2 linked regions of the Canis lupus familiaris genome follow. The protein of the gene in region 1 purifies or fractionates together with the protein of each later gene. This does not show direct contact. Links are inferred from orthologs where the notes say so. Each region holds a gene or a part of one and is shown in the gene's direction. Other genes may lie near its edges.

Evidence for each region.
Region 2: the proteins of EIF2B1 (region 1) and EIF2B5 purify together in Homo sapiens (affinity purification with mass spectrometry; 7 studies listed by BioGRID and IntAct, counting the BioPlex papers as one, with this or other methods). This does not show direct contact. The link is inferred for Canis lupus familiaris from reciprocal best matches to the Homo sapiens genes EIF2B1 and EIF2B5.

What each region holds. Positions count from the first base shown.
Region 1 is NC_049247.1:6,233,998-6,249,902, forward strand, and holds the start of EIF2B1 (translation initiation factor eIF-2B subunit alpha), read left to right. Parts: upstream 1-6,407; 5' UTR 6,408-6,561; coding exon 6,562-6,574; intron 6,575-7,811; coding exon 7,812-7,913; intron 7,914-8,970; coding exon 8,971-9,107; intron 9,108-9,202; coding exon 9,203-9,319; intron 9,320-11,132; coding exon 11,133-11,245; intron 11,246-11,987; coding exon 11,988-12,056; intron 12,057-12,867; coding exon 12,868-12,943; intron 12,944-15,410; coding exon 15,411-15,536; intron 15,537-15,905. Other genes in the region: GTF2H3 (general transcription factor IIH subunit 3), read right to left, coding at 2,507-2,586, 6,272-6,284.
Region 2 is NC_049255.1:17,211,732-17,227,411, forward strand, and holds the end of EIF2B5 (translation initiation factor eIF-2B subunit epsilon), read left to right. Parts: intron 1-502; coding exon 503-688; intron 689-784; coding exon 785-962; intron 963-1,220; coding exon 1,221-1,301; intron 1,302-1,517; coding exon 1,518-1,595; intron 1,596-1,864; coding exon 1,865-2,177; intron 2,178-3,158; coding exon 3,159-3,304; intron 3,305-3,515; coding exon 3,516-3,657; intron 3,658-3,779; coding exon 3,780-3,881; intron 3,882-4,266; coding exon 4,267-4,374; intron 4,375-4,560; coding exon 4,561-4,651; intron 4,652-4,956; coding exon 4,957-5,080; intron 5,081-5,667; coding exon 5,668-5,793; intron 5,794-6,200; coding exon 6,201-6,311; intron 6,312-6,462; coding exon 6,463-6,522; 3' UTR 6,523-7,333; downstream 7,334-15,680. Other genes in the region: DVL3 (segment polarity protein dishevelled homolog DVL-3), read left to right, coding at 13,528-13,688. UniProt on the Homo sapiens protein: Acts as a component of the translation initiation factor 2B (eIF2B) complex, which catalyzes the exchange of GDP for GTP on eukaryotic initiation factor 2 (eIF2) gamma subunit.

The sequences.
Region 1 (15,905 bases):
CTAGAGAGAGAGAGAGAGAGAGAAACAGGCAGAGGGAGAAGCAGGCTCCATGCAGGGAGCCCAACGCGGGTCTGGATCCCAGGTTTCCAGGATCACGCCCTGGGTGGAAGGCGGCGCTAAACCACTAAGCCACCGGGGCTGCCCTACCCAAGTGATTTTTGACAAGGATATGAAAACCATTCAGTGGAGAAAGAGTAAACTTTTCAAAAATGGTGCTGGGGCAACTGGATTATCCATAGGCAAAATAATGAACCTCAATCTATATTTCACAGATTTTAAGAAATGGGGGCACCGGGGTAGTGCAGTCGGTTGAGCAACTGACACTTGGTTTCAGCTGGGGTCGTGAGATCAAGCACCATTTTTGGGTCCCACACTCAGCATGGAATCTGCTTAAGGCTCTCTCTCTCTCCATCTTTCTCTGCCCCTACCCCAGCATGTGTGTGTGCTCTCTTTCTCTCTTTCTAAATAAATAAATAAATAAATAAATAAATAAATAAATAAATAAATAAATAAAATCTTTTTTACAAAATTAACTCAAAACATATTGTGGAGTTTACTTAAGATTTTATTTTTAAGTAACCTCTACACCCATCAGGGGCTCAAACTCACAACCCTGAGATCAAGAGTTGCACACTCTACTAAGCCAGCCAGGGATCCTTGGATTGTGGATTTAAATATAAAACTTTTCACAGAAGACAATGGCAAAAATCTTTACGACCTAGAGCAAGGTTGAGAATTCTTACAGCACCAAAAGCACAAGCTATATTTTTTAAATATCAAGAGACTACACTTGATCAAAATTAAAGACTTTCTGCTCTGTGAAAGATCACCAGAAGAGGATGAAAAGACAAGCTAAAGATTAGGAGAGGGATCCCTGGGTGGCACAGCGGTTTGGCGCCTGCCTTTGGCCCGGGGCGCGATCCTGGAGACCCAGGATCGAATCCCACATCGGGCTCCCGGTGCATGGAGCCTGCTTCTCCCTCTACCTGTGTCTCTGCCTCTCTCTCTCTGTGTGTGACTATCATAAATTAAAAAAAAAAAAAAAGATGAGGAGAAAATACTTGCAAGCAAGATTATCTGACAAATGGCTTATATTTTGAATACATAAAGAAATCTCAAAACTCAATGGCTAAACATGACCCAACAATCCAACTAGAAAATGGACACGTGACATGAAAAGAGATCTCAGGAGGCTTATCTATATGGTGAACAAGCTTAGAAGAAGCTGTGTGATGTCACCAGCTATTGATGAAATGCAATCAAGACCAAAATAATGGATTGTTACATACCTATTAAAACAGCTAGTATAAAAAAGTGCCAACATCAAATGCTGGGGTGGGGAGAAACTCCCTCTCTCACACTTTGCTAGTGGGAATATAAATCCATTCTAGAAAAGAGTGTAGCAGTTTCTTATAAAACCAAACACACATTTACACGATTACACCGTATGTTGTAGCAGTTGCAATCCTGGACGTTTATCCCACAGAAATGAAAACTTCTATCCACACAAAAACGTCTACACAAATTCTCAGAGTGGCTTTTTATGTAATAGTCAACAACTGAAAACACAGCCCAAATGTAAAGCTTTAGTAAGTGACAGAACAAACTGGTACCTCGTACTGTGGAATACCACCCAGCAATAGAAAGGGCAAACATGGATGCAGGGAATAACCCAATCTGTGGAGTGAAAAAAGCCAACCTCAAAAAACCTATATGATAGATTTCCATACCAGAACTAAAGCCCTGGAGAACAGAGTAGTAGATCAGTGTCTACCCCACTTAGGGACCAGGGACTGACTACAAAGGTGTAGCAACTATAAAGGGAGCACTAGACAGCTCCTGCTTGTGATGGGACAGTTCTCCATCTTGACTGTGGTGGTGGTGACACACATCTGTACACAAGATAAGACAGCACAGCACCACATGTACACCCAAATGCATGCAAAGTTCTGTGATCTGAATAAGGTCTCAAGGGTGTACTGATGTCAATTTCCTGGTTTTGCTATTATAATCTAGGTACATGAGATGTTACCACTAGGAGAAGCTGGAACAAGGCTACGGAACCCCTCTGTTACCTTTTTTTTTTTTTTTACAATTTCCTGGGAGTCTATAATTATTTCAAAATAAAACATTTCAAAATAGACTTTTTTTTTAAAGGATCACATATTGTGTAGCATGTATTAAATGTCCAGAAAAGGCAATATAGAGGCAGAAAACATCAGTGACAGCCTGCAACTAGAGGGTAGAAGCAGTGACACTGAACAGGCAGGAAGGAACTTTCTGAGGTGATAGAAATGCTCTAAAATGAAATTGCAGCAATGGTTACACGATCTTTTTGTGATTTTTACTAAAAAAACAATGAACTGTACATTACAATGGATGAATTTTATGGTATATAAAATATAACTTAATAAAGCTGATTTTCTTTAATGAAGCTGATTTTTTAAAAAGCAATATTAACATAGTTATACCAGAATTATCCAAAGGCCTCCTCAAGTAATCTTACCTGAGACTCCTTTAAGGCTTGCTTTCCCCACCAAATTGGGTTGGTATCAACGACGATAACTAAAAGATTCAATTCATCTTCTGAAAATATTAACAAAAAATAAAAACATTAACCTCATGAAACCATAGGCAAACCAACATCCCAATTTGTAAATTATAACCACAGCAAGAACCACCGCATGCCTTTAGATGTTTACCATCCTATAATCCTGAAATTAACCAAAGGCCAAGTGCTTTTTTTTTTTTTTTTTTTAATTTTTATTTATTTATGATAGTCACACAGAGAGAAAGAGAGAGAGGCAGAGACATAGGCAGAGGGAGAAGCAGGCTCCATGCACCGGGAGCCCGATGTGGGATTCGATCCCGAATCTCCAGGATCAAGCCCTGGGCCAAAGGCAGGCGCCAAACCACTGCGCCACCCAGGGATCCCGGCCAAGTGCTTTTAATGACTGAAAGCTCTCTGGGCCCTCAGCAGGCTCTTGCTTGCTTTCTGTACCACCACATCTTTCGTGCACTAGAATGTAAGCTCCGGGGCGGGGGCGGGGGGCGGGGGGAGGATCTTGTCTGTCTTATCATTGCTTATCTTCTGCTCCTGGTACAACCACCCAGCATGAGGTAGATGCTCAAAAAATACCTATTAAATGCACCCAAATATTCACATTTTAAATGCAGTCAAGGACAGAATGCACGGACTAGCCAGTTAATATTCAACAGCAGAATTTTAGGGACACAAGGAGGCTGAAGGGAGACACAGGAATAAGTCTAGCCTCAAGCCCATCAAACCACCTTGCAGCAAGGCCAATGGTGATCAGGAACCACTTTTTAAAAGGTGAAAACCAAAGAGAGAAAAGCAATTGCTATGTAAAGATTTTACTGTGAAAAGGAATAGACTACTCTCCAAAGTTAGACACAACTGTACAGGCTAACAACACATTAATTCATTCAACAAACATTTACGCTAAATACCAGTGTTAGAAGCTGGGGATACTGGGTTCAAGCCCTCAAGGAGTCTAAATTCTAACTGAGGTGACAGATATACGAACCTATAAGCACAGCTGTTAAGAAAAACCCAGAATGCTCCTTTAATAGCAAAAAGCAATAATGTATTTCCTGCCCCCACACCTTCCTTCCTGCAGTCCCACCTCCTACATCAGATAATCCCCACTCCATCGTAGATTTGTTCTCAAATCCAAATCCTATGTCCTCTACAAAGCACCAAACCAATGCTACTTTTTTTCTTCCAAAAATCCTCCCCAGGATTTCCAACAGGTCCTGGCTCCCCAACCTGAGAATAGCTGTCTGCATCAGCATATGTAATCCTATAATCCCATTTCATGCTGACAACAAACTACTGATGGAAATACTACTGTCATCTTTCATCAATTATGACAGGGACTCTCTCTTTATCAGTTGCTGAAATCAGGATGGTGTCTTATAATTAAGACTAGCAGCATGTCTCTTAGTGGCACACTAAACAAAAACAGATCTCATAATTGATACTGTCTTAGATAACTTAGATGACACAAATATGGCATTCTTATTTTCAAATGAAAGTAACTTGCTCTAAGTCACATGGCTTGCTAGCAAGCGGCAAAACTCCCTGCTATGGAGCCAGATCTACTTGACTATAAAGACTGGCTTTTCTTTTTTTTTTTTTTTTTTCAAGATTTATAATTTTTATTTATTTATGATAGTCACAGAAAGAGAGAGAGAGAGGCAGAGACACAGGCAGAGGGAGAAGCAGGCTCCATGCACCGGGAGCCCGACGTGGGATTCGATCCTGGGTCTCCAGGATCGCGCCCTGGGCCAAAGGAGGCGCCAAACCGCTGCGCCACCCAGGGATCCCTGGCTTTTCAATAACCCATTGTCCACTTCTGATCCTCTTAGTATGAATCATCTCATTTTACAGTTAGTTGTCTTTCTGATCTCTCTTGCCAGCTCTGCTAAAACTAGTCCACTAGACTGTGGCCTCATTACAGAAAGAGGATTTTTGCGAATCCTGGGATGAAATAACAAGTGCAAATCACACACACACACACACACAAAAAGTGCAAATCACACACACAAAAATGCCTAACACAGAAGCAGCATTTAATAACTGTCTTTCACTCCTCTACCCACAAGCCCACAATCCTTTGGCCTTATTCTCCATGAGCTCCACCCCACAACTCTAGGGTCAGCCAGCCCTTGCTACTGCCCAGAAGCCTGAGAAAAAAATAAAGTATTGCCTAATAGGGGAGATGAGTACCCACACACACGGACTGCCTGGTCAACTTCCTTCTTTGAGTCTCTACACCATCATTTGTAGACAAGGCCCATGCCAGGCCTGCCTCTCTCAGGACTGTGGTATGTATTGAAAAAGAAGTGATCTCCCTATTTCCACTCTTGCTCCCTTATCCACACCGCAGCCAAAGTGATCTTTTAAAATTATGCAATTCTGGGGATCCCTGGGTGGCTCAGCGGTTTGGCGCCTGCCTTTGGCCCAAGGCATGATCCTGGAGTCCTGGGATCGAATCCCACATCGGGCTCCCGGCATGGAGCCTGCTCCTCCCTCCTCCCTCTCTCTCTCTCTCTCTATGTCTATCATAAGTAAAAAAATAAATAAATCTTTAAAAAAATAAAATAAAAAAATAAAATTATGCAATTCTTTAAAATTAATTAATTAATTAATTAAATTATGCAATTCTTTGCTTAAGACCCTACAATGGTTTCATACTACACTTAAAGTTCAACCTCTTTTTTCACCACCCACAAGGGCCATGCATCTGCCTAGCTTCTGACCTCATTCCTTTAGCTCACTTCACTCCCACCACCCTGGTCTCTTTTTTCTTTAAGACATCAAGCTAGGGGCACCTGGCTGGCTCAATTGGTGAAGCATCTGCCTTCAGCTCAGGTCATGATCTCAGGGTCCTAACATTCAGCCCCATATTGGGCTCCCTGCTCAGTGGGGAGCCTGTTTCTCCCTCTCCCTCTGTCCCTCTCCCTGCTCATATTCATCCTCGCTCTTGCTCAACATCTAATAAAGAAAATTTTTTTAAAAATCAGGCTCAAGATGCCTGGGTGGCTCAGTTGGTTAAGCTCTGCCTTCAGCTCAAGTCATGATCTCAGGGTTCTGGGATCCAGCGGCGCATGTGTCTCCCTGCTCCGCAGGGAGTCTGCTTCTCCCTCTCCCTCACCCCCGCTCCCCGCTCACGGGTGCGCGCACTCTCTCTCAAATAAATGAAATCTTAAAAAAAAAAAAAAAAAAAGACAGCAGGCTCTATAGCTGGTAGTTTAATGTATGAATGAAAGTCTCTCCATCTTCTTCTACCCTCAAGTTCGCCATTTCTTAGTGTAATGTAACGACTCAACTCGCCACAGCGCCTTTGCACACTCACTGGAGACTCACTCTCAGTACCTGGACTCTTATCTAAACGTAGCTCCTCCTTGGTCATCCCCTAATGACAGTACTGCAGCATCCCAGTATATTGTCTTCACAGCTCTTGTCACCCTTCGAAAGTATTCTTATTTACTTAACTACTGTCTGCCTCGCCCACTGGACTGCAGCCTCCACGAAGGCCCTGACTGCCATGGTCTCTGCTGTATTCCCCAGCGCATACAACAACGCTGGCACACCGGAGACCATTCAAAACTATTTATTGAATAAAATAACACATCTGCTACTCCTCTAAAGACCAGACAGGTTGCCCCAGCCCCCCAAATAATGCTCCAGCTCGGTGGTCCTGCCCAGTCCCGGGGTGGGGGTCCCTCCCCGCACACCCCTCACCGTCTGACACCATGGCGGCCAGGATCCCCCAACGCAGAGGCAGCGAGCCGTCAAAAGCTCCTCCCGGATCCTGCACACCCCGACTTCCGGCGCAGCCGAGTGACGCAAGAGCGGCTTGACGCGAGCCGCGCGCCGTACCCAGGGCCCCGGCCCCAGGGCGCCGGAAGTGGAGCGCGGAGACGCGCGGCGTGCTGGCAGTCCCTGTGGCCGCGAGTCCCCGCGGCGGTGGGACCCGCTCCAGCAGCGCGGGCTGTCCGGGTCCCCTCGGGCTGTGCGATCCAGAGGGCGCCATGGACGACAAGGGTAAGTCGTAATGGATGGGCTTGCTGGAACTGAAGCGGAGCCGCGCAGGGGTCCCCCCACCTGGCACGCCCGGGCGGGGCCCTGCGAGAAATCCGTTTGCAAGTTTAGGCTGCAGGGCTGTATTTGCTGCTTCCAGTCGCAGCTCAGTCCCTCCCGCTGCCCCTGTCTCCAGGGGATGGGTCTTCAGGGTATCCCCAGACCTTCCTCTCCCGCCGCTTTCCAACGCCCACCTCCAAAAAAGGGAGACTTAGACTAGGTGTGCGCGTCTCCGCGGTTGTGATTCCCCGCCTTCTTGGATTTGGTACTAGAATTTTTTTAAAGACGTTTTAGATGCGTTCATCTGATTATCAGGATGTTTCATTAAGTGAAACACAAGGGCAAACTGACTTATATTTCTCATTTAAAAGAAATAAGAGTGGGATGGGCTGCTGCATATACATGTGTATGTGTAAGTGGGTGAACAGGCTAGAATTGGCATCGACTGTCTGGACAGGTGGAGGGTAAGTTGATAAAGTGGTTGACTCTGGGATTCTCCTAGGACTTGTAGTCAAGGATTAGAGGGAGGATGACCTTCTGTTATCATGGGGTGGTGCTTAAATTTTATGCTCTTTGTGCACGGATAGGTTTTTCCAAAAAAATGAGAAAGACAGGGATGCCTGGGTGGCTCAGCAGTTGAGCGTCTGCCTTCGTCTCAGGGCATGATCCCAGGATCTGGGATCAAGTCCCACATCAGGCTCCCTGCATGGAGCCTGCTTCTCCCTCTGCCTGTGTCTCTGCCTCTCTCTCTGTGTCTCTCATGAGTAAATAAATCTTTTTTAAAGAGTGAGAAAGACAGCTCGTAAATACTAAAGTGGTGTCATCTCTATTCCTATCAACATTTATAACGCCCGTGAAGCCAAACACCCTGAAAAGAAAGTATTTTTTTTTAATAGTTTGCTTCTGGGGTGCCTAGGTGGCTCAGTCGGTTCACTAAATGTCTGTCTTCAGCTCAGATCATGATCTCAGGGTGCTGAGATCGAGCCCGGCGTCAGGCTCCCCACTCAGCTGGAATCTGCTTCTCTCTCTCTCCCCCTCCCACCCCACTCCATGTGTGCTCTCTCTCAAATAAATAAAAATATTTTAAAAAAATAGATAAATAAAATCAGTTTGCTTGTTAAGGTCAGCAGTCATTGAAAAGCTCTCTGGTCTTACATCCTACTAAATGAATTTGATTAATCACTTTTTTCTCCCTCCCCAGAGCTAATTGAATACTTCAAGTCTCAGATGAAAGAAGATCCTGACATGGCCTCAGCAGTAGCTGCCATCCGGACTTTGCTGGAGTTCTTGAAGAGAGATAAAGGTGAAGAGAGTGATATTTGAACACTCTGGGTGTTAGGGAAGACCTCTAGTAACTGTCAGAAGTGTAGGAAGTAAGACTGTGTCTGGCGCTTGTAAGGTAATGCAGCTCCAAGTCCAGCTTCTCCTTCATGTCAGTCTTCCTTTTAACTTGGAAAGAGCCCACTGGTTATCATTAAATGAGTCCCCTTTCATAAGTGAGATACACTTTGAATCAAGAGTGACCATGTTATATCAAGTTAACCATGAAGCTTAAATTATAGCAATAGTTCAGCTTTGCAAGTTTTTATGCAGCTTCTGACTTATGCCAGAATTTGTGCAGTTGCTACAGAGTATCCCAGAATTCTAGTATTCATGTCATTCATTGGGATTGCCTACTAGTTCAGGCATCCTAAATGTAAGTTTGTTGGTAGAGCATGACATCATTTATAAGCAAAATAACAACAATAGTAATAGTAATAATAATGCTTCCTTTAATTCGAAGGGTTGGCCTAAAGCCATGGTGTCTTCCCACTGTACCTACAATAACACCCAAATACCTGAACCTTGCCTACACCACCTCACAGACCTCACCTTGCCACTTCCTCTTCATTTCCTCCCACGCCGTCCCTCACTAAACTGTGTGTCAACCCCGGTGGCCTCTCTGTCATATCAAGTTTGTTTCCATCTCAGGATCTTTGTGTTGTAGTCTACACCTACACCCTTCCTACTGGATCTTTATGTGGCTGGATCATTTTTTACCCAGGTCTCAGTTTAAATGGCCTCCACTCAGAGGCCATCCCTGTTAGCTTTCTAAAGTAGCCCCTTACTTCTCAACATGCTGCTGCTTTCTTTCCTCAATCAGTCTGTAACTTGTGTATTTCTTTGTGTGCTTGGTTTTTGCCACTAGAAAGAGAGTTCTGTCAGAGCAGGGACCCTGTCTGTCTGCTCGCTGATCTGCCACTGCCATAGAGGATGCATTCAGTAAACACTGGTTGAACAAATGAAATGTTTGCATCACATACCCACCAAGGGGCTGTGATGATAAACTGAACATTACATTCCTCATGTGATCAATCCAGGGGAGACGATCCAGGGCCTGCGAGCCAATCTTACCAGTGCCATAGGAACCCTGTGTGGTGTGGACTCCTCCGTGGCCGTGTCCTCTGGTGGGAAGCTCTTCCTGCGTTTCATCAGCCTTACTTCCCTGGAATACTCTGTAAGCCCTGCCTTCCTTGGGTTACCTTTCTACTTCTTTGTTCGGCTGCTTTACCTGGATCTCAGTTCCTCCACATTTTTCTCTTTTCTTCTTAGGATTACTCTAAATGTAAAAAGATCATGATAGAGCGAGGAGAACTTTTTCTCAGGAGAACATCCCTATCAAGAAATAAAATTGCAGATCTCTGCCATACTTTCATCAAAGATGGGGCGGTGAGTAGATTTTCTTAGGTGCAGTAATTGGGAGCAGAGACTTTGGACTTAGACTCCTGGGGTAAAATCTCTCCTCTGCCACTTACTTGCTGTGTCACCTTGGACAAGTTACTTAACCTCTATGTGCTGTAGTTTTCTCATCTGTTAAATAAAGGTAACAACAGCACCCACCTCATCAGGTTGTGGGAGGAGGTAATGAGATGACCTAAGGACCCTATACTATGCCTGGCACACAGTAAGCACTAAAGAAATGTGTAGATGTTATTACAGAGTCTATCATATTAAACAGGCAGGGGCGCGCCTGGCTAGCTCGGTCAGAAGAGTGGTGACTCTTGATCTCTGGGGTCATGAGTTCGAGCCCCACATTGGGTGTAGAGATTACTTAAAAATAATAAATAAACTTTAAATAAAATAAACAGGAAGAGAAAAACCACTGGGATAGCATGGATTCTTGGTTTAATAAGATGTCTTTACCAAAGAAGTATTTTCATTACTGGTTACGTACTAAACCCAAATCACCACCTAACAGCTGTTGGCACTGGTTCATACTGTCTTCCATACTGTCTTCCAGGGAAGATTAGCACTGTGTTGGGGTGTTGTCTTTAATTTCATCTCTAGTGCTAATTCAGAGATGCAGAGCTGCCAAGTGTTTGTAGGTGAAGACGGGAGCTGCAGGTTAAGCCAGTCCGCCAGCAAAGGGGCAGTAAAACCTTTATGATATCTCTTCCATGGCGTCCCTCTTCTGCCACCCCAGCCTCAGACCATAAAATTATTTACTTGCATTTTTGACTCTGAAATCTTGTCCTGCTTTATTATCCCCTTCCCAACCTTTGAAGTGTGTTATTCAATAAATGATGTAATAGTTGTGAGTGGAATCTGTACAAAAGCCAGTTGCAAACAAAGTTGCTTTGGGGCAAATGGAGGCAAGATTAGGATTGCCTCTTGCTAAGGCCCCTCTGTTTCCACCAAACTCCTACACTCAGCTTTCTGCGGGTTTCATTTGCTCTGGTGTGTTTGAACCTGTTAATACCTACCTGCATCAGCACTGACTTTAGGCTAAATTCAGAACAGAGCTGCCCACATTTAAACCTACAGATGAACCACCTTGGGATCTCATTCAGGGACGTTCTGATTCAGCAGGTCTGAGGTGGGGCTGAGAATATGCATTGCTAACAAGCCCCTGGGGGAGGCCCAGAAAGGAACTAAGGTGCTCTGTGCATCCATTTTGCATTATGTAGAACCATTTAGTCTGTTCATTAGAACAAAGGTGAAGTGAGTGTCTGCATATTGTATCCAGCCCACAGATAGGTTGTGTTTACCCCAAATGGTATTTATTAATTTTTAAAAATTAAGTAGCCAACCCTTATGTCTTGGATTTTCAAGAAAATATCAGATGCTCTGGCAGTTGTGAGACCACATGACAGCAGCTGGAACTTGGCCTCTCCTCTTTGCTGCTAGCCCTGCCTGAGCTGCTGCATTTCTTTATGCAGCCTGCCTAATGCCTGTGGACCTGAGTGTGCAAACCATGTCTTAGAAATGGGAAAGCCAGCTCAAAGGAACTAAACAGAGCCTTCGGACAGAAAGGCTTTTGTATCTTGTGAGCAACACCACATGGAGATTCTACTCCCGGATTTGCTGTAGGAAGAGGTGACCCACAATAGATGTGCCATCGAGGATCTCCTTCCTGATGCCAGTTGGTTTGTGAGAAGGCATACAGAGAAGCCTTGGGGTACTGGGAGCCTGCGTTAGCAGGGCACAGCGCAGGTGATTGCTGCTAAGCTTGCCCTTTTGACAGAGGTTTCTTGGTCCACAGAGAATATTAACTCACGCCTACTCCAGAGTGGTCCTGAGAGTTTTGGAGGCAGCCGTGGCGGCCAAGAAGCGTTTCAGTGTGTACATTACAGAGTCACAGCCTGATTTATCAGGGCAAGTATCATTCCATTTGGTTCTGGGCCCAGCAGTCATTCTAAAGTGCAAACTGAGGATTAAAACCTGTGTGGGAAGCCCCAAAACATGTCCCCGAGTGGCCAGTTACCCAGCATTGCCTTTGGGTGTCTTCCTGCCCCTGAAGGAAGATCCCTGTGAATTGGCAGTAGCCACAGTACAGGATCTAGGCTGTTTACTTAGTAGTTAAATCAGAGGAACAGCAACAGATACATCAGTGGAAAGATTTTTATCAAGGACTAGATAATTCACATATCCATCTAGAAGATAGTGAAAGGGGGATCCCTGGGTGGCTCAGCGGTTTAGCACCTGCCTTTGGGGCAGGGTGTGATCTTTGAGTCCCGGGATCGAGTCCCACATCGGGCTCCCTACATGGAGCCTGCTTCTCTCTCTGCCTGTGTCTCTGCTTCTCTCTCTCTCTCATGAATAAATAAAATCTTTAAAAAAAAAACAGAAGATAATGAAAGAAGAAGCTTTATCCTTTTTTTCTGAATTTGGTTCTCTTACCCAGATTCCCCAAGAATATTGTTTTCCTGAAATACCTATTTTCTTCTAAAGAACCCAAATTCTTATTTCTTTCATCCAGAGTCTTGGGATGTGCCCCTTAATCCCTATGAACTGAGTTTCAAGCTAATTTGATTGACCACTGTCCAAATTAAGTGACTCATCATACATCACTATGGGACTCTTCAACTTTTTCTGTTCTCAAAATGTCACTTTCCAGTAAGAAAATGGCCAAAGCTCTCTGCCACCTCAACGTCCCTGTCACTGTGGTCCTAGATGCTGCTGTTGGGTAAGTTCCCAACTTCCCTGAGCACGGTTGCTTTTCCTCACCCACTCCCAGGTTTGCCTTGGAGCAGGGTTTCCAGATTGATAAAACCTCACTGGGTAATGTCCTGCCTTTGAATTGATGGCTGCATTAATCCAGCAAGCTCATTATAAGGTCTTAAGAGTGTATGCAGGACACAAGCTGTAGGGTGTTGCAGAGAATGAGAGTCGTTTATGTAGTTTTATGGTGCATTTTAAGAGCACGATGCAAAAGTTGGGTTAGGATCAGCACACTCCCTCTTTACAGAAAGGCATGGGCTAGCTATCCTCAGTGGCACTCTGGGATTCTGTGACTCACTCATGCAACTTTGCTCCTAAAACTGAGGACAAGTGTTCAGAGAATTGTCAGTGTACCTCACAAAAGAAAACAGGACTGAAAGTCTCTCAGAAAAACACAAACACACAGAAAGCAGCTGATAAGGAAATTAAGAATGCATTCAGAAGAAAACATTTTGAAGAATTCCCTGAATTGTTCATTTTCAAAGGTAAATTGGCCTTTACCTTAGCTGAAAGATTCCTGAATTACATAATGTTCTTTTCCAACTTGAGATCACAACAGGCTTTTAAATTTTTGTTTTGTTTGTATTGAAGTAGATCAGAAAACAGTATGTACCACAAGTAGCAAGGATCACATCAGGTCATGAAATCCTCATTATCAGTCACCACACCTGTATACATGTGCCAGCAGCCATGGGGGAGCGCCTCTGTCTGTGTCTCTCCTGAATAAGTAAAATATTAAAAAAAAAAAATTTTTTTTTTTGCTTTAATTTTTTTAGCTATATCATGGAGAAAGTGGATCTGGTCATCGTTGGTGCTGAAGGAGTTGTTGAAAACGGGGGGATTATCAACAAGGTAAGAACGTCAGTTCTGTAGAGCTCCTTGCCCCTGACGTGGACCCGGGCTGCTGACCCCCATCTTGGCATCCACTCTTCCATTCTGCTTAGTCTCCATATGTCACCATCACAGCCAATGGTTTCCTTGGCCCCAGAGGTCACTACAGTGGCCAAATTTTGGTCACATTTCTTTGATCTCTGTGAATCATGGGAATACAGTTTATCTTTTCTCAAAACATGTTTTAACTGGAATTGAGTTTGACTGTTGGTTGGTTTTTTTTTTTAAACCGAGCATATTTGACATCAGTATAAAGTAGTATTAAAATTCTTTGTCCATTGCCTAACATGGGAAGATTTCATGATCATTTGTTTCTTGTGGTGTGTAGTGAAAGACACATAACATACAGTTTTCACATTTAGCGTTCAGTGGCATGATTTCACTCAGCACGATATTTTCTTTTTTTAAGTATTTTATTCATTTATTTGAGAGGGAGAGCACATGAGTGGGGGCAGAAGAAGCAGGGTCCTCACTGAGGTCCTCACTGAGCAGGGAGCCTGACATGGGGCTCAATCCCAGGACCCTGAGGTCATGACCTGAGCTGAAAGCAGACACTTCACCGACTGAGTCACCCAGGCGCCCCATAATCAGCACGATGTTTTTTTGTTTGTTTGTTTTTAATTTTTATTTACTTAAGATAGGCACACAGTGAGAGAGAGAAAGGCAGAGACACAGGCAGAGGGAGAAGCAGGCTCCATGCACCAGGAGCCCGACGTGGGATTCGATCCTGGGTCTCCAGGATCGCGCCCTGGGCCAAAGGCAGGCGCTAAACCGCTACGCCACCCAGGGATCCCCAGCACGATGTTTTTAAGGCCCATCCTTGTGATAGCAGGTGTCACCTCCATCCCTCTTTTTTTTTCTAATAAAGATTTTATTTATTTATTTATTTTTTTGTTTTGTTTTTGTTTTTGAGATTTTATTTATTTATTCACAAGACACACACAGAGACAGAGGAAGAGGGAGAAACAGGCTCCATACAGGGAGCCCGATGCAGGACTCCATCCTGGGACCCCGAGATCACACCCCGAGTCAAAGGGAGATGCTATACCACTGAGCCACCTAGGCATATAGCACATTTGTTTGTCCACCCATTCCTGTCCACTTGAGTTGTTTCTACATTTTGGCTATTGTGAATAATGCTATTGCAAACATAGGTGCACAATTATGAGTTCCTATTTGCAGTTGCTGTGGGTATGTATCTGAGTGGAACTTCTGAGTCATGGTAATTCCATGTTTAGCTTTTCTTTTTTAAAGATTTTATTTATTTATTCATGAGAGAGACAGAGAGAGAGAGAAGCACAGACACAGGCAGAGGCAGAAGCAGGCTCCATGCAGGGAGTCTGACATGGGACTCCATCCTGGGTCTCCAGGATCACACCCCAGGCCGAAAGCAGTGCTAAACCGCTAAGCCACCAGGGCTGCCCCATGTCTAGCTTTCTGAGGACCTACCAGACTTTTCCACAGCAGCTGTACCTTTTTCCATTCTCAGCATATACAAGTATTCCAGTTCCTCTACATCTTTGCCAATACTTGTTATTTTGGTTTTTAATTTATAGCCATGCTAATAGGTGTGAAGTAGTATCTCATTGTAGTTTTGACTTGCGTTTGCCTGATGACTGAGGATCTTGAGCATCTTTAGAGCGTGTGTGTATTGGCCATTTGTATATCTTTGGAGAAATGTCTATTCTGTCCTCTTTTTATTTTTTAAGATTTTATTTATTTATTCCTGAGAGACAGAGAGAGGCAGAGACACAGGCAGAGGGAGAAGCAGGCTCCGTGCAGGGAGCCCGATGTGGGACTCGATCCCGGGATTTCAGATTACACCCTGGGCCGAAGGCAGACGCTTAATCACTGAACCACTCAGGCATCCCATGTCCTCTTTTTTAAAATATCCTCTTTAGGAGTGCCTGGGTAGCTCAGTTAGTTAAGCATCTACCTTTGGTCAGGTCATGATCTCAAGGTCCTGTGATCGAGCCACATGTTGGGCTCCCTGCTTGGTGGGGAGCCTGCTTTTCTCTCAGCTTCTGTGCTTGTGTTCTTTCTCTCAAATAAATAAGCATTTAAAAAACTGAAAGAGGGCAGCCCTGGTGGCTCAGCAGTTTAGCGCTGCCTACAGCCCAGGGCGTGATCCTGGAGACCCGGGATCAAGTCCCACGTTGGGCTCCCTGCATGGAGCCTGCTTCTCCCTCTGCCTGTGTCTCTGCCTCTCTCTCTCTCTCTCTCTCTCTCTCTCTCTCTCTCTCTCTCCCCCCCCTCCTCTCTGTGCATTCTCATGAATAAATAAATAAAATCTTTTTAAAAATAAATAAAATTTAAAAAATAACTGAAAGATCTTAATTCCAAAGCCAGATTTCATATATTATATAGTCACTCACATGCTTTTGAATGTGCTATAAGGTCTTATCCTTCATTTTCTCTGTGTCTCCAGATTGGAACCAACCAGATGGCCGTGTGCGCCAAAGCACAGAACAAGCCTTTTTATGTCGTTGCAGAAAGTTTCAAGTTTGTACGACTCTTCCCACTAAACCAGCAGGATGTCCCAGATAAGTTTAAGGCAAGAGTTTTTTTACATATTTGAAGGGGTATTTGAGTCTATAAAGATTTTTATTTATTCATGAGAGAGAGAGAGGCAGCGACACAGGCAGAGGGAGAAGCAGGCTCCAAGCAGGGAGCCCAATGTGGGACTCGATCCTGGGACTCCAGGATCACACCCTGGGCCGAAGGCAGGCGCTAAACCGCTGAGCCACCTGGGCTGCCCAGGGGTATTGAGTCTAAACTGAAGCCTTTGGGAAGAAGCAGTGTAAGAATATTTCAGTAAGTTACTCCCTTCCCATCACTAGTTTCTCTAACACTTGGGATACAAAGATCAGTTGTTGGCTGAGCTCAGAATGAGTCCCATTTGTCCCCAGAACTTCAGTCTCTC
Region 2 (15,680 bases), on another chromosome or scaffold:
TCCCAGTGCCTAGCTTAGTATAAAGCACATAATAAATATTTAACAAATGTTTGATGAAATCTTCTTGAAAAAGAGTGCGTATCAGGATTTATGGAAGTTCAGGGAAAAAAGACTAGAATATTAGCTTGATGTCCTTTGGACAGTTCCTAAATTTGGTTTGGACTTTGGATGGAGAGAAGGGGCATGGAAAGTGTGTTCCCAGGATATTTTGTATACTCTAAATCTCAGCAGGATTTTGAATGCAAATCCATGTTAGGGAACAGGTGTCAGGGTTTGGAGAAGAAATAACCATGTTTCTCTAACCCATAAAACAATACTGGTGACACAGGATGCTGAAACCATTAATTATAGTTTACAAATCTCTTTGAAGTAGAAAATGCTGGCAGGAACCCAAAAAAAGCTATAAAGAAGGCGTGTGAATGTTGAATGGGTGAGAAAAATAAGGAAGCACTACATGATCTTTATGCCTGATTTGCTCGTTCCCCTCATCCCCTTCATTTAGGAAATCCAAGTGGTGCCGCCCTACATCCCTCAATGTGGTTCGAATAATTACGTCAGAATTATATCGATCACTGGGGGATGTTCTCCGTGATGTTGATGCTAAGGCCTTGGTGCGCTCTGACTTCCTTCTGGTGTATGGGGATGTCATCTCAAACATCAATATTACCAGAGCTCTGGAAGAACACAGGTCAGGATGGGAAGATGGTAGGGACAAAGGGTTTGTGACTAGCAGCAGAGCCCTAAGACTGCTATTTTGCTGCTCTCTCCCTCCTATCCTTTATAGATTGAGGCGGAAGCTAGAAAAAAATGTATCTGTCATGACAATGATCTTCAAAGAGTCATCCCCTAGCCACCCAACTCGTTGCCATGAGGATAATGTGGTAGTGGCTGTGGATAGTACCACAAACCGGGTTCTCCATTTCCAGAAGACCCAAGGCCTTCGACGGTTTTCTTTTCCTCTGGTGTGTGGGTATCTGGGGTCCTTGAAGTGGGAAAGTGACAGGCTTCAGCAAGAGACAAGTTAAAGTCCTGGGTGGGCACCTGGGTGACTCAGTCGGTTAAGCATCTGCCTTCGGCTCAGGGCATGATCCCAGGGTCCTTGGATCCTCCTTGCTTAGCGGGAAGCCTGCTTCTCCCTCTGCCCCTCACCCTGTGCTCTCCCTCTCAAATAAATTTTTAAAATCTTTAAAAGAATAAAGTCCTATACCTTTTCCCCACAGAGTTTGTTCCAGGGCAGTGGAGATGGAGTAGAGATTCGCTATGATTTACTGGACTGTCACATCAGCATCTGCTCTCCTCAGGTGAGCTTTTCAGGGCCAGGGCTGCACATCCAAAGAGTAGAACTCTGAGTTCCACAGTAAAAAGTCACTGTCATCCTGACTCCAGTATCCTATTGGGAACTTTTTTGGGATTCTGGTCCTTGTCCAACCATCATAGGATCTGATAGATCTGTAGGGACTTATTTTTGTTTCCAGAGTATAGCACTCACCTTAGCCTCACCAAACGTCCTCCCACAGGTGGCTCAACTCTTTACAGACAACTTTGACTACCAAACTCGAGATGACTTTGTGCGAGGCCTGTTAGTGAATGAGGAGGTAAGAAAAGGCTCCCAGGCCTCTTTAGAAGAGGTCTGTGGTATTATCCCATGCTGATAACTTTTGGTCCCCTTTTGTGTTTTATTGAACCTTAGGATGAGGGAAAAGAGCTGCAAGAGAGAGGGAATGAAACCCAAAGAAAAATCTTGCCCATTTGGCTATGACATTGAGGGGGAGAGGGTAACTTAAGTTTAGAAAAGAGTTGTACCTGAGTGTGTTCTTCCTCTTTTACTTGCTTCGGTGACCTCCCTTTCCTTCTCCCTATTCAGATTCTAGGGAACCAGATCCACATGCACGTGACAACTAAGGAATATGGTGCCCGGGTCACCAACCTGCACATGTATGCGGCAGTTTGCGCTGATGTCATCCGCCGATGGGTCTACCCTCTCACTCCAGAGGCGAATTTCACTGACAGCACAACCCAGAGCTGCACTCATTCCCGGCATAACATTTACCGAGGGCCTGAGGTCAGCCTGGGCCATGGCAGCATCCTAGAGGAAAATGTGCTTCTGGGCTCTGGTACTGTCATTGGCAGCAATTGCTATATCACCAACAGTGTCATTGGCCCTGGCTGCCACATTGGTGAGCACAGGTGGGGAAGTCAGGATGATCTGGGAGCAGGAACCTAGGGGACCCCAGATAAGGACACAGAAGGATAGTCCCTGAGAATAAGGAATAAGAGTGTCTGCTTTAATAAAGGAAGGAATGGGGATGTGAAATTTGTGGCCTATGGGCCTCTTATTGGGTGACTCTTCACATTCTAGAGTACCCTATTCACATTCAGGACCAAGTGGATACTTAACATGCAATAATAATATCTGTTTGGTGCACTGTAGTTTACAAAGGGCTTTGGCATACATTGTTTCATTTATCTTCACAAGGTTTTATTTATCTCTAGTTTATAGCCAAGTAAACAGGCTCAGAGGTTGTCTCCCTCAGGGTCATAGCTAATGAGAGGCAGTGCTAGGACTTGAATCTAAGTATTCTAAGTCCAGTGTTCTTTTTATTCAATCAAAGCTGTCTGGTTGGCTTCTTGGTAACTGACTTTGGTTATAAGAATGTGATACTTCTAATGGAACTGTCCCTTTAAAAAATGTACAAGGAGAGGGGCGCCTGGCTGGCTCAGTTGGTAGAGGGGTTGTGAGTTCAAGCTCCATGTTGGATGTAGAGATTACTTAAAAATAAGTCTTTAAAAAAATAAGTTAAAATGTATAAGAAGAGCTAGAGAGCTTTACTTCTACTTCTAGACATAGATATGATTCTAATAAGGTTTTTGAGCTGAAAGAGATCCTAGATATCTTGAAGGTTCTTAGGTTCTTAAGTTCAGTATACAGTCTTAAGTCCGGTATATAGTGATTATTGTAAACCTTGTGGAGGATGGTCCTGCTAAGCACTATTCTATTTTCAGGCTGGAATATAGAGAGGGAGAGGGTGTTTCTGATGGTTTGGGAGATAGAGTATCAGCTGGGTGGGAGCTGTGCTGTTACCAGTTAGCCCCATCCTCCAGGAATGGCTCTGATCTGGAACCCTGAGTGACCAGGAGTACTTCCTGTCCTGAGCCAGGTGATAACGTGGTGCTGGACCAGGCCTACCTGTGGCAGGGTGTCCAAGTGGCTGCTGGAGCACAGATTCATCAGTCTCTGCTCTGTGACAATGCTGAAGTCAAGGAACAAGTTACACTGAAGCCACGCTGTGTCCTCACTTCCCAGGTGAGACCTGCTCCGTACTGCATGAAGACTCCAAATTGAGCCAGAGAGGCCTTATGTCCACCCATGATCCAACCTGAATTGAGAGTTCAAATTCAGCAGATTCATTTGTCTTCGAGTTAGCATAGTAAAAATAGTCGCTTTCATTATCAGGATGTATCTTTCCCCAACACATTAATGGAGCTGTGCCACCCACTCTTTTCGCATCCTCTAGGTGGTAGTGGGCCCAGACATCACGTTGCCTGAAGGCTCGGTGATCTCTTTGCACCCTCCAGATGCAGAGGAAGATGAGGATGATGGCCAGTTCAGTGATGATTCTGGGGCTAACCAAGAAAAGGAGAAAGTGAAGCTGAAAGGTGTGAGGCTAATCAGGTGTGGGGCATCTGTGTGTCTCTCTGTCCCATGAGAAAGCCAGTGTTTCCTCCTAGAGGGATTGTGTTTCTCTTGTGTGTTCATTAAAGATCAATGCCTTTGCCAGGTTATAATCCAGCAGAAGTTGGAGCTGCTGGCCAGGGCTACCTCTGGAAAGCTGAAGACCTAAACATAGAGGAGGAAGAGGAACTACATCAGAATCTATGGGGTAAGTTAGGCTTTATTCCTGTAACCTCCCGCCTCTAAGTCCGATTTTTTTTTTTTTTTAAGATTTTTATTTATTTATTCATGAGAGACAGAGAGAGAGAGAGAGAGAGGCAAAGACACAGGCAGAGGGAGAAGCAGGCTCCATGCAGGGAGCCTGACGTGGGACTGGATCCCAAGTCTCCAGGATCAGGCCCTGGACTGAAGGCAGCACTAAACAGCTGAGCCACCCGGGCTGCCCCTAAGTCCGAATATTTTGAAGAAAAGTGTATACTTCAGAATGTGACTACTTATTAATTACTTTATTCATTCAGACAGGGCAGATATGTTGCTCTCTGTCAACAGCTCTTTCTTTACTTTTCTTTTTTCTCACCTATATGGGTTCTCAGGACTCACGATCAACATGGAAGAAGAGAGTGAAACTGAAAGTGAGCAGAGTATGGATTCTGAGGAACTAGACAGCCGAGCAGGCTCCCCACAGATGGATGACATCAAAGGTGATGGGCCAGGGGAGCAGTGTGCTAGGACAAAAGAAAAAACCTTCAGTTCATTCTCTGTCTGGGTCAACTAGCCAAAGACTTGTGTTTCTCCCAGAAGGGTTTGGTATAAAGTCAGAACTAGAGAACTTAAAGCATTCTGGAGTGACATATTGGTTCATGAACTTATTCTTGCTTTGATTTTAGTATTCCAGAATGAAGTACTGGGAACACTACAGCGGGGCAAGGAGGAGAACATTTCTTGTGACAATCTAGTCCTAGAGATCAACTCTCTCAAGTAAGAGCAGCCCTCCCTCTTCTCTCCTCTGGGTAATCCCAGGCAGGTAGAGGTTCTCTCCTGTTTCTTTCCCAAATAAGAACCAATTCCTTTAACATCCCAAATGGACAAAGCCAGTAGCATTTGGAACAAGGAGAGCATTAGGTTCTGGCCTCAGCACAGACTTCTCTCTTCCAAAGCCTTCTCCTTGCATGTTGTTCCATCCGCCTTCTTCCCCAGTGTCCTACCAAAGTCATAGTCCTACAGCATGCTGAAATGGCCAGTGAAGGCTCTGGTGTTACCCCTCCACCCCCATCTCCCCACAGGTATGCCTACAACATAAGCCTAAAGGAGGTGATGCAGGTACTGAGCCGCGTGGTCCTGGAGTTCCCCCTGCAACAAATGGATTCCCTGCTGGACCCAAACCGTTACTGTTCCCTGCTGCTTCCTGTGAGCAAAGATTGGGGCTGAGTACAAGGGATTGGCTGGAGGCAAATCCATGTCCTTGCCATGTTTCACTTTAAGGGAAATAGGGAGTAGAAGGTCTTATTGTGGGATTTTTTTACTTGTGGTTCCTTTCTCCTTGCCTCTGGATGCAGATTGGGTAGTAGAGCAGGCTTGGCTGGTCCAGAGCAATCAAGTTAGGTTCATACTGAGTGCTCTTTGAAACTCCAGGATTCAGACCATTACTAGACCCCAAAGGTATGCCCAGAATAGACCTAGACTTTTATATTCTCTGACTGAAATGATTTGACCCAGAATGAGATCAACCTGTAGGCTGGTAATAGGTATTTTGAGGCAGCCTGTAGGATCTGACTCCCTTTCACTTTCCCTGGGAGATATTTTCTTTTTCTGCCAACCTTGACCTCCAGCAGCTCCCAAGTCCCTCTGACATGATTCCTCAGGCCTGTATCATCTCCCCTCTTGTTTTCCTATATCCTAAAAGTCCCATATTTCCAATATTGACTTTCTTTGCTATCCGGATGTAGGTGCATGCTCAGGAATATATTGCAGCTCCCTTCTCCTTTCTTCCATAGCTGCTTAAGGCCTGGAGCCCTGTTTTTAGGAACTACATAAAGCGTGCAGCTGATCATTTGGAAGCATTGGCAGCCATTGAGGACTTCTTCCTGGAGCATGAAGCTCTTAGTACTTCCATGGCCAAGGTGAATACCACCTCAAGCCCCATTGCCCTGGATTTCTTTTGAAACAGGCCTTGGCTACCTCCACGGAGACACAAAACAGGCTAACATGAATCCAGTATGGGATTTGAGTAGTAGCACCATCCACCCCTATTATTGTGCTGATTGCTGCAATAATACAGCTTGGAGTCAGGCTAGTAAGGCAGCCTTTTGGAGATTATCTTGGAGACCCGACAATAATTCCAGAGGTTATACCAGTCCCAGTTGCAGAATGAAAAGCTCATTTTTATTTGTTTTAAGAGCAACTGCTTGGTGTTTTAAAGGAAGCTGATAGTCTGGTAGAGAGAAGTGCTAAGATCTTGTCCCCTCTTCCTCTGTTATATCTTGCTGGATTCTGCAAGGTCCCTGAGATCTCTTCTGGCCTTCGGCAGGTACTCATGGCTTTCTACCAGCTGGAGATCCTGGCTGAGGAAACAATCCTGAGTTGGTTCAGCCAAAAGGATATGACTGACAAGGGCCGGCAGTTGCGCAAGAACCAACAGGTGAGTCAGGCTGCCCTCCTGTCACCAAGGCAGTTGTCTGGTCCCATGGTTCATAGGGAATGAAAGGCCTAGATTCTTTTCCAGCCTCTGTAGCTGTTAAAGCTACTTATATCCCCCTCCCTCAGTAGCTTTCCACTCTGCTTCCTTACAGCTGCAGAGGTTCATCCAGTGGCTAAAAGAGGCAGAAGAGGAGTCATCCGAAGATGACTGAAGTTGCACTGTCTGCTTCTCTTGGTGTAGTTGATAGCCCTCCTGGCTTCTGGTTGCCGAAGGATGAATGACTGCCATCTAAGCTGAGGCTTAAAGGAGCAGAGGCTGGAACTACAGTATTCGTCCTACCACCAGCAACCATGTGCCTCCCATCCTGCCTGGGGACTTGGGAAAAGGAAAGTTGGGCTGGAACAAAGCTCTGCCTAAAAAGGAGCAAGGCAGGCTCCGCAGTTAGAGGAAGTCTAGAGGAACAATTTTGTGCTCTGGCCTTCCCTCAGGGAACAGCAGAGAGCAGCTGGCCCTTTCTGCTGCTTGTATTTGTTAATATTAAAAAAGAGACAGGGGGATGTATTTGGTTTCTCTCCAACTATGACTGATCAGCTCTTGATGTAGGTGACCAGAAAGTTCTGAACCTGGCAGCATTTCCCGAACACCTGGGGGAGAGGGAGAAGTGGGGTGTTACGGCCACTAGGTGGTACTGTGGTCCCTTGCTAATTGACCTTTGCCGTGGCTCATAGGGAATGAAAGGCCTAGATTCTTTTCCAGCCTCTGTGGAACAGTCCGTGGTCCTGGAGTGATGTGCCTGAGGCTATTTCCATAGAGAGTTCTAGTCCCAACACTTTCCTGCCGGAGGATGATGATCCAAGCATATGTAAAGTCCGTTACACTCCCTCACAGGGTCCAACTGCCACTCCCTCACATGCTTTGTCCAGTTGATCCAGTACTACTACCAGGGAAGCTGGGATGTTCAGATAAGGAAAATTTGCTTAAGGTATCAAGATTCTTAAAAGGAGTAAAGCTAAGGACTTGAATCTCGTGATCAAAAATTCTTTCTGTTTCAACATATTCAGTGTCACAGTGAAAAAAAATTGCCTCCAGAGGCAAATATAATGCCAAGCCAGCAATAGGTATCCTAAGAACAGAGGAAGATCCTATGAAATGGGCTTTCCCCTAATATTGAGAGAGTGCTTACCATATGGTAAGAATTTTGCTAAATACTTTTCATGTGTTTAGTTAGCCTTCACAGTAGATGAGGTAGGCCTTATCCCCATTTTCAGATGAGGAGCCTAAAGTTCAGAGATGTCCCATAACTGGTCGTTGATTGAGCCATGCTGGAGTTCACCACTGTGCTGTATAGTCTCCTTTAACCTCATGAGACCTGCCTTTCTGTCTCATCTTTCTTGGCTTTCTTGTCCTAAAACTCATATCCTATTGACACTTAAACCATGGCAGATGTTACTGTTAATAAGTGGCCCTCCTTGACATCACAGATAAAATGGTTGCCATTGTTCATTTTAGTTGGGTAGAAAAGAGTAAGCTAAGGAAAATGATACTGAAATGTATTCAGGTGTGAAGGGCATTACTGAGTATTTCTAAAGTATTTCTAGAGTATTTCTTTATCTCATCTAATTTAGGATTTGGCTTAATTTACTTTTCTTATTCGGTAAATCTCAGTTTGTGCTTTTCAGATACAGGACCTAGAACCTACAGGGGATATGAAGGTTTTGGCATGGCCTACTAGGAGCAATTAAATACAAATAACTTATAGGGCACTTCTGATTTGTACCTAATGGGTGGCAGAAATCAGAAGTGGCCTATAGAACTTTTTAGAAGGAAGAGATTCCTTCTAGTGGAGTAATTGAGGAGACTTACAGGATTATGACACCTGAGTTGCCTAAAAGTAGAGGTAGAAGGGGACTTTAAAAGCAAGCAAAGGATTTCCATATAAATATGGTACACTAAACATGTGGGGTTTTTTACTTTTTCCAAAAGCCCATTCAAATGCTAGTAAAGCAATCTTCAAAAAAAGTTCATGACTCAATAAGGAAAACCAGAGGTGATCCCAATGATTGAGAGACACTGACATTTTGGGAAATGAAAAATAAATGAAAGAGTCAAAGTTGACTTAACAGAGCAGAATAAAATGGGTTCTATCTGCTGAGGTGACTAACAAGAAGCAAACCCAATGTGCCCTTTTATTTATTTATTTATTTAAGATTTTATTCTTGAGAGAGAGTGAGGCAGAGACACAGGCAGAGGGAGAAGAATCTCCCTTCATGCAGGGAGCCTAATGTGAGACTCCATCCCGGGTCTCCAGGATCACGGCCTGGGCTGAAGGCACGCTAAACTGCTGAGCCACCCGGGCTGCCCCCAATGTGCTCTTTAAAACCCAGAATAGGTGTAGCAGAGCAGATAAGGATTGGTTGCTTACAACAGGATTGGGTGGAGAGGAATCCGAGATCTATATGAGAGAAGGTCTCCCAGGTCTACCTCATCTAATTTAGCCAGGTGATTACCCCCTACTCTCCTGCAAGAAGTGGGAGAATTAGTCTCTGGAGAAATGATAGGGAAGAAATTATCAAAGAAATATTTATGAAGGTTTCCTAAACTCAAAGGTATTGGGTTTTCAGACTGACAAGAGTTCATGAGCCTAGTAGAATGAGTGAAATAGCCCCATGAAATTTCAGAGCCTCTGGACAAGAGCAGACATGGGGATGGGGGTTATCAGCTAGATTGGAAATGAGGGATTAAGTATATGAGGGCTCTGAATATCAACAGAGGCAAAAACAAACTGAAAAATGGAGAAAGCCTTTAAATACTTTTATTTTTTTGTTTCCTCAAAACAAAAAGGCATCTTTACCCCCACTTGATTACCCTACAGTGAAATCTGTTAGTTAATAAGCCCTGTACACGGGGGTACCTGGCTGGCTCAGTTGGTGGAGTTGGGACTCTTGATCTTGGGGTTGTGAGTTGAAGCCCCACTTTGAGTAGAGAGATTACTTTTAAAAAATTTTTTTAATTAAAAAAAAAAAAAGCCCTGAACAAAGACAGAGCTTCCAATTAGCTGCTTAGTATCTCGCTCTTAAATGTGAATAGACTGGGCCGCCCCGGTGGCACAGCGGTTTAGCGCCGCCTGCAGCCCGGGGTGTGATCTCCGGAGGATCTCAATGCGGAATAGAGTCCCGCATCAGGCTTCCTGCATGGAGCCTGTTTGTGTGTGTGTGTGTGTCTCTCTCTCTCTCTCTCTCTGAATAAATAAATAAATAAATAAATATTTTAAAAATATATTTTAAATAAGTAAATAAATGTGAATAGACTGCCAATGGCCATCAAAAATTTGAGGAAACTTCCAACATGAAAGGTGAAGACCAAAACAAAACTGAAATCAAGGAAACAATGAGAAAATGGGGAGCTTTTTTAAAACCTCAGGGTGGGGGGAGCTATAATTATTCTCAAAACTCAAAGAGGGAAGATATTTTATCTATGAAGAAAGTTCTATGAAAAGGGAGGACTAGATGACAAGGCTTTTAGAAATTTAAATAAATTATTTCCTACTGATAATTTGAGGACTAGACAACTGAATAGGATGGAAACTATATCCATCCTTATGTCGTTGAATTTTTGAATTGTGAACATTTTACCTATCCAATTGGATAGAAGGAAGGTTGGAGATAATACGAAAATCTCACAAAAGTGCAGTTATTTAAAAATAAGGGGGGAGAGGGGCACGTGGTTGGCTCAGTGGTTGAGCATCTGCCTTCCACTCAGGTTGTGATCCGGGGTCCTAAGATCAAGTCCCACATCGGGCTCCCAGTAGAGAGCCTGCTTCTCCCTCTGCTTATGTCTGCCTCTCTCTGTGTGTCTCTCATGAATAAATAAAATATTTTTTTAAAAATAAGAGGGAATATATGGTAAAGGAGAAAAATAAGGATCAATCTAGAAGGTCCAACATCTAACGGGTCGTAAAAAGAACAGGGAAAATGGTAGTGATGTTATTAAATAATTCAAGGAAATACTGTTGAATTTCTAGATGGAAAGATCTCACCAAGTGCCTAGCATAGTAATTGAGCACCAAGATGCATCACCATGAAATTTTAGAGCCCCAGGAATAAAGAGAACTTACTAAAGATTTCCAGAGAGTAAAAACAAGCTATGTGCAAAACGTTAGGAAAAATAGAGATCAAACTGACTGCTTAATAGCAACACTGGATGCTGGAAGACAATGTAGTGATACCTTCAAAATTTTGAAGGAAAATTACTTGGCAGTCATTTTCAGATTTGCAAGTTCTTGAAAGGGGTTTTCTTTCCCGTGCTTCCAAAGTAAGCCACCATAGGTGTGCAAATGAATAAAATATCCGGGAAACAGGGATCCAACATCGTGGAGGTAAAGGGAGTTCTGAGGAGGATGCTGTCCCAGGATGACAGCTGTGCATAGGCGGAGACAGCCAATAGTGCAGACCAGAGCAAGAGAATGGAAGGCCCTAGGGGGGAAAATGGTTGGATTATCGAATATATTTGGCTGTGTAAGCAAAATATGCATGGAAAACTATTAGATTATAAGACTTAATGGTAGATATACTATATGAAAAAGCAGAAGTATGGGGGATCCCTGGGTGGCGCAGCAGTTTGGTGGCTGCCTTTGGCCCAGGGCGTGATCCTGGAGACCCGGGATCCAATCCCACGTCGGGCTCCCGGTGCATGGAGCCTGCTTCTCCCTCTGCCTATGTCTCTGCCTCTCTCTCTCTCTGTGTGTGACTATCATAAATAAATTTTTAAAATTTTTAAAAAAAGAAAAAGCAGAAGTAAAGCAATGATTAATGCCAGGAGAAACAAAAAGTTGTAAAAAGGAAGCATTTACTCATAGGCAAAATGTCAATACTAAAAACTATATTCGCTTAACCAAAAGTATCATTTTACTATTTTAAAAGGTTAGGGGGAGGTGGAAGAAAGATAAATCCATCAATCAAATTTGGAAATAAATATGCAATGTCCAGAATGCATAAATCAACAAATAGTATGAGGCTTAAAAATATGTATATACTGGCATGGTATGGAAAATGGAACAGAGAACTGCTGTTAAGAACTTTATTAATATGCACATATATTTAATTAAAAAAGTAAAGAGAAGGGTATGAAATGAAAATACACAAGGTATGTGCAGAGGCTAGCAAATAGGTTGATTTGCTGAAGTAAAAAATTTAGCCAGGATATAATGAAAAAATAGCTGTAGAGGTAGGTAGTTTAGGTTATGGAGAGTTTTGAATATTGTTCTAAAAATATTTGGAAAGCACTGGGGAGTGTGGAGATGTTTCTGAGCAGGAGAGTCTGGAAGAGGTACTTACTTTGAAAATGCTAATGTGGCAACAGTGTATAAAATGGAGGAGGAGGAGCCCACACTTGTTCCTGTGGCCTTAAAGGACCTATGTGGTCTGGTCCCAGCCTACCTCTCCAGCCTCATTCTACCACTATCACTATAGTCACAATGGCCTTCTTGTTCTTCAGATTGAGAGTTCATTCTTGCCTTGAGCCTTTATACTTGGCTGTGCCCTCTGCCTGGAATGCTTTTTCCCCCACACCAGATCTTCTTCTAGCTGCTTTTTTCCTTTTTTTTTTTTTTTTTTTTTAAGATTTTACTTATTTCAGAGAGAGAAGTAGACTCCCGGCTGACCAGGGAGCCCTACGGGCTTGAGGCTCCATCCTAGGACCCTGAGATCATGATCGTGACTTGAAAGGTAGATTGGTTAAGGGACCTAGCCACCCAGGTGCTCCTCTTTTTCCATTTTATGCCTTCGCTCAAATGGAAGAGGCTTTCTCTAATCACCCATGGTTCTCTTCTCCTTTTTACTACCACATCACTCCATTTTATCTTTTTCATAGCGTTTGTCACTCTGAAGTTATTTATTTCAAGCTTGTGTGTCTCCTTTCAGATGAGTGAAAGTCCAGACTGAGGTCAGCCTTATCTGTCTTGTCTTCACTTTATCCCCTGCAGCATGCCTTGCACCTTAGTGGGCACTCACTTATTAAATGAATTAAAAGCTAAGAGGTGGGATGCCTGGGTGGCTCAGGGGTTGAGCATCTGCCTTCCGCTCACGTAGGAATCCTGGGTCCTGGGATAGAGTCCTGCCTGCATCAGGCTCCCAGTGCGGAGCCTGCTTCTCCCCCTGCCTGTGTCTGTGCCTCTCTGTGTGTCTGTCATGAATAAATAAAATCTAAATAAGTAAATAGATAGATATATCAGATAGATAGCTAAGAGGTGAGGAGATCTATCAGGGATAGATTATACCTAATTCTGGTTTGAGACTTACCGTCCCAGTCATGCACTCATTTTCATTCTTGTGCTCATTTAGCCTCAGTCCATTTATGAAGCCACTGACTGCTCTGCACCTAGAAATTGCAGTGAGGCTAGAGGGAATCAGAACTTGATTCTGTTCTATTCTCAAGGAACTTAATTTGGAAGACTCAGTGACAGCAGCTATGTTTTCCAACAGACCCTAAAAGGACCATGTGAAGGTCACTTTCCCCCATCCACACCTGGTCAGAGCCACCCCCCACCACCACCACCACCAAAGTGACCCCGGGCTGCTGGGGCACAGCGCTTCCGCCTCGGGTCCGGAGCCGAGGCCCTGAGGAGTCCGAGAGGGCGGCCCTCCTGGTGAGAGCCGCCCTCCGCGGTCCGGGGGCCCGGGCGCCCGCCACCAGGCTCCCCGCGGGCAGGGGGCCGCAGCGCGGCGGCCGAGCTCTGCGCCCGGCGGGTGGGCGGGGCGTCCGCGGGGCCCGGCGAGGCCCCGGCCATCTGCCGAGAGGCCAGCGCGGCTCGGCGGCGGCCGGGGGCGGGGCGGGGCTCGCGCCGGGGCGGGGCCGCCCGGGGGCGGGGGCGGGGGCGGGGGAGGGGAGCGGGCCGAGCCGCGGCGCAGAGCCGGGAGGGCCGCGGCCGCCGGAAGAGTCGCCGTCGCCAGCGGAGCGGGGCGAGTGGGGAGCGGAAGCGGCGGCCGCGGCGGCGGCAGGCGGCGCTGGGACCCGGGAGCGGCCGGAGAACAAGGGAGCTGGCGCCGCGGCCGGCCGCCGAGCGAGGCTGAGCCGCTGGGCCCGCCGAGCGCCGCCGCCGCCGCCGCCGCCGCCGCCGCCGCCGCCGCCGCCGCCGCCAGAGGCCCGGCCCGGCCCGGCCCGGCCCGGCCAGGCCGCCGGAGCAGGCCGCGCGCGGGCCGCGGGCCCCGAGGCCGGAGCCATGGGCGAGACCAAGATCATCTACCACCTGGACGGGCAGGAGACGCCGTACCTGGTGAAGCTGCCCCTGCCCGCCGAGCGCGTCACCTTGGCTGACTTTAAGGGCGTTCTGCAGCGACCCAGCTATAAGTTCTTCTTCAAGTCTATGGACGACGATTTCGGGTGAGGATGGCCCCCGCCTCACCTCCGGGGGACCCCGGCCCTTCCGGCTTCTCGGGGCCCGCGGGGCCAGCTTGGGCTCCCCTTGCTGCACTGGCTTCTGGCCCTACTCTGGATTCCAGGCGGCGACCTGGCCATTTGGGGGGCCGCCTGGCTTTTTCAGAGGCTGGAGTGCCAGCCCCTTTAGGGACTCTCCTTTTACCTTGGGGGGGGACCTAGCCCCCCCCCCATTTTAGGAGGACGTCCAGCTCCCCAAGAGCAACCAGAGTTCCAAGCCCCCTTCACCTCCTCAGAGACCAGCGGCCCACTTAGACACACACACCCCCACCCGATTCCAGAGCCGAGTCCCCAGCCGTCCGCCTGCCAAGGGAGCCACCTTTTTAGCATAGAATTGGGGTGTTTGGCACTCGGCCTTTGCCCTCTCCATCTTTTCAGCTCCACCACTCAGCCATATTTGGAGTAGTGCATACAGGGGCTATGCAGTGGGACTTTGAACTGGGGGGAGGGTGAGTTGGTGAAGGGGTTTTCAGGGGCCAGGTTGCAAGCTAAGCCAGCAGACCTAATGTTTATTTAGCTGTCTCCCCTTCCTTGTGGGGTGTTCAGGATGTTGTCAGGGAATTGGAGTGCCTGACCCCTGAGAAGTCCCCCCTGGCCTAGGTGCTGATTTCCCCTCCAGATGGTGGCCAAGGGGGAGACCTTGGAAAGGGCCTCAGAGCCTGGATGGGAGGGCCAGGAAGAGTCTCTTGGTGTTCTTCATCTTCTCCCTGGTGGGGTCTTCTCCACCCAGCTGCAGGGCTTTGGACAGGCGGAGTTTGGAAGCAGCCACTTCCCCTTTAAGAGGGGATGGAATGTTGGAGCCGGAAGGTTCTGTAGCAGCTGGCCTGGGAGGGGGAGTCTGGCCCATCCCCTCGCCCCCCCCCCCCCACAACTCCCAGGGGACTGGGGGAGGGGGAGGCCCCCAGACTTGCCTGTCCCACACTAACTGGGCACTGGGCCTGGAGGCCTGTGGGGAAGGCTTTCCCCAGCCCTCCAGGCCTAAAGGCTGTCTCTCCAACCCCAGTCTGAGGCCTGCACTGCTCCCTGGAGCTGAGGCCTCAGAGCTGAGTGAGGGGAGACATTCTCCTTCCCTGTGTTGATGAGTCTGGCTTCTCTTCCAGGACCCCTGCCCTCTTGGCCCTAGAAAGCAAGCACCTTCTCTCTTCTACCTAGCATGTTTTGCTGTCACCTTTCCCCACGGAACTCAGGGTTTGATGAGCCCATGAGATTCTGTGTGAGAGTGCTTTGTACAGTGGGAAGGGCTATGCAGCTTTTGACCATTCTTCTGTTGTTCTTCCTACCCTGGGGTGGGGTATTCCTGGTGTTGTAATGGTTGTCTGGCTTCAGTCCAGAGACGGACACCCCTGATTGGAAGATTCTGAAGAGGGATCGATCTGCAAGGGGTGAGAGTGAGGGGACAGATGCCTTGGCCTGGTAAGAGAAAAATAGATTTGGAAAAGAACAAGATGCAGCCTCAGGGTATGGGATAAGGGCAATCAGCTAGAGTGTGCTGGAGCCACCCTGGGACCAGATGCCTTTGAGGGACTAGGACAGGCCTGTGTCTCCACCCTTATCTCACCTCTGAACCCACTGGGTTTAGCCCCCACCTCCTAAACCTATACCTCTCTGGGCTGCCTCCCACTACCCCCAGGCTGCTGTCAAGCCAGGCCTAACTGCAGTTATAGGAGAAACCCCATTACATCTGCTTACTGTTGACTTATTGTTCTTTAAATCTACTATCAGTTCACTCATTCTTTCTTAGCTTGACCCAATCAGTAATATGAAATCAAGGTTTGATTTTCTATTTGTATTTCTCAAATATGTTAAAAATAAATACTTAACTACTGAATTAAACATTCAGGTGCACTTGAAGCAATCTTTCATACATTAGTGGTACTTGAGTCATCTTTTGCAAAATATTATAGTAGACTGTTTTAACAGGGTTGAGAACAAAGCTAA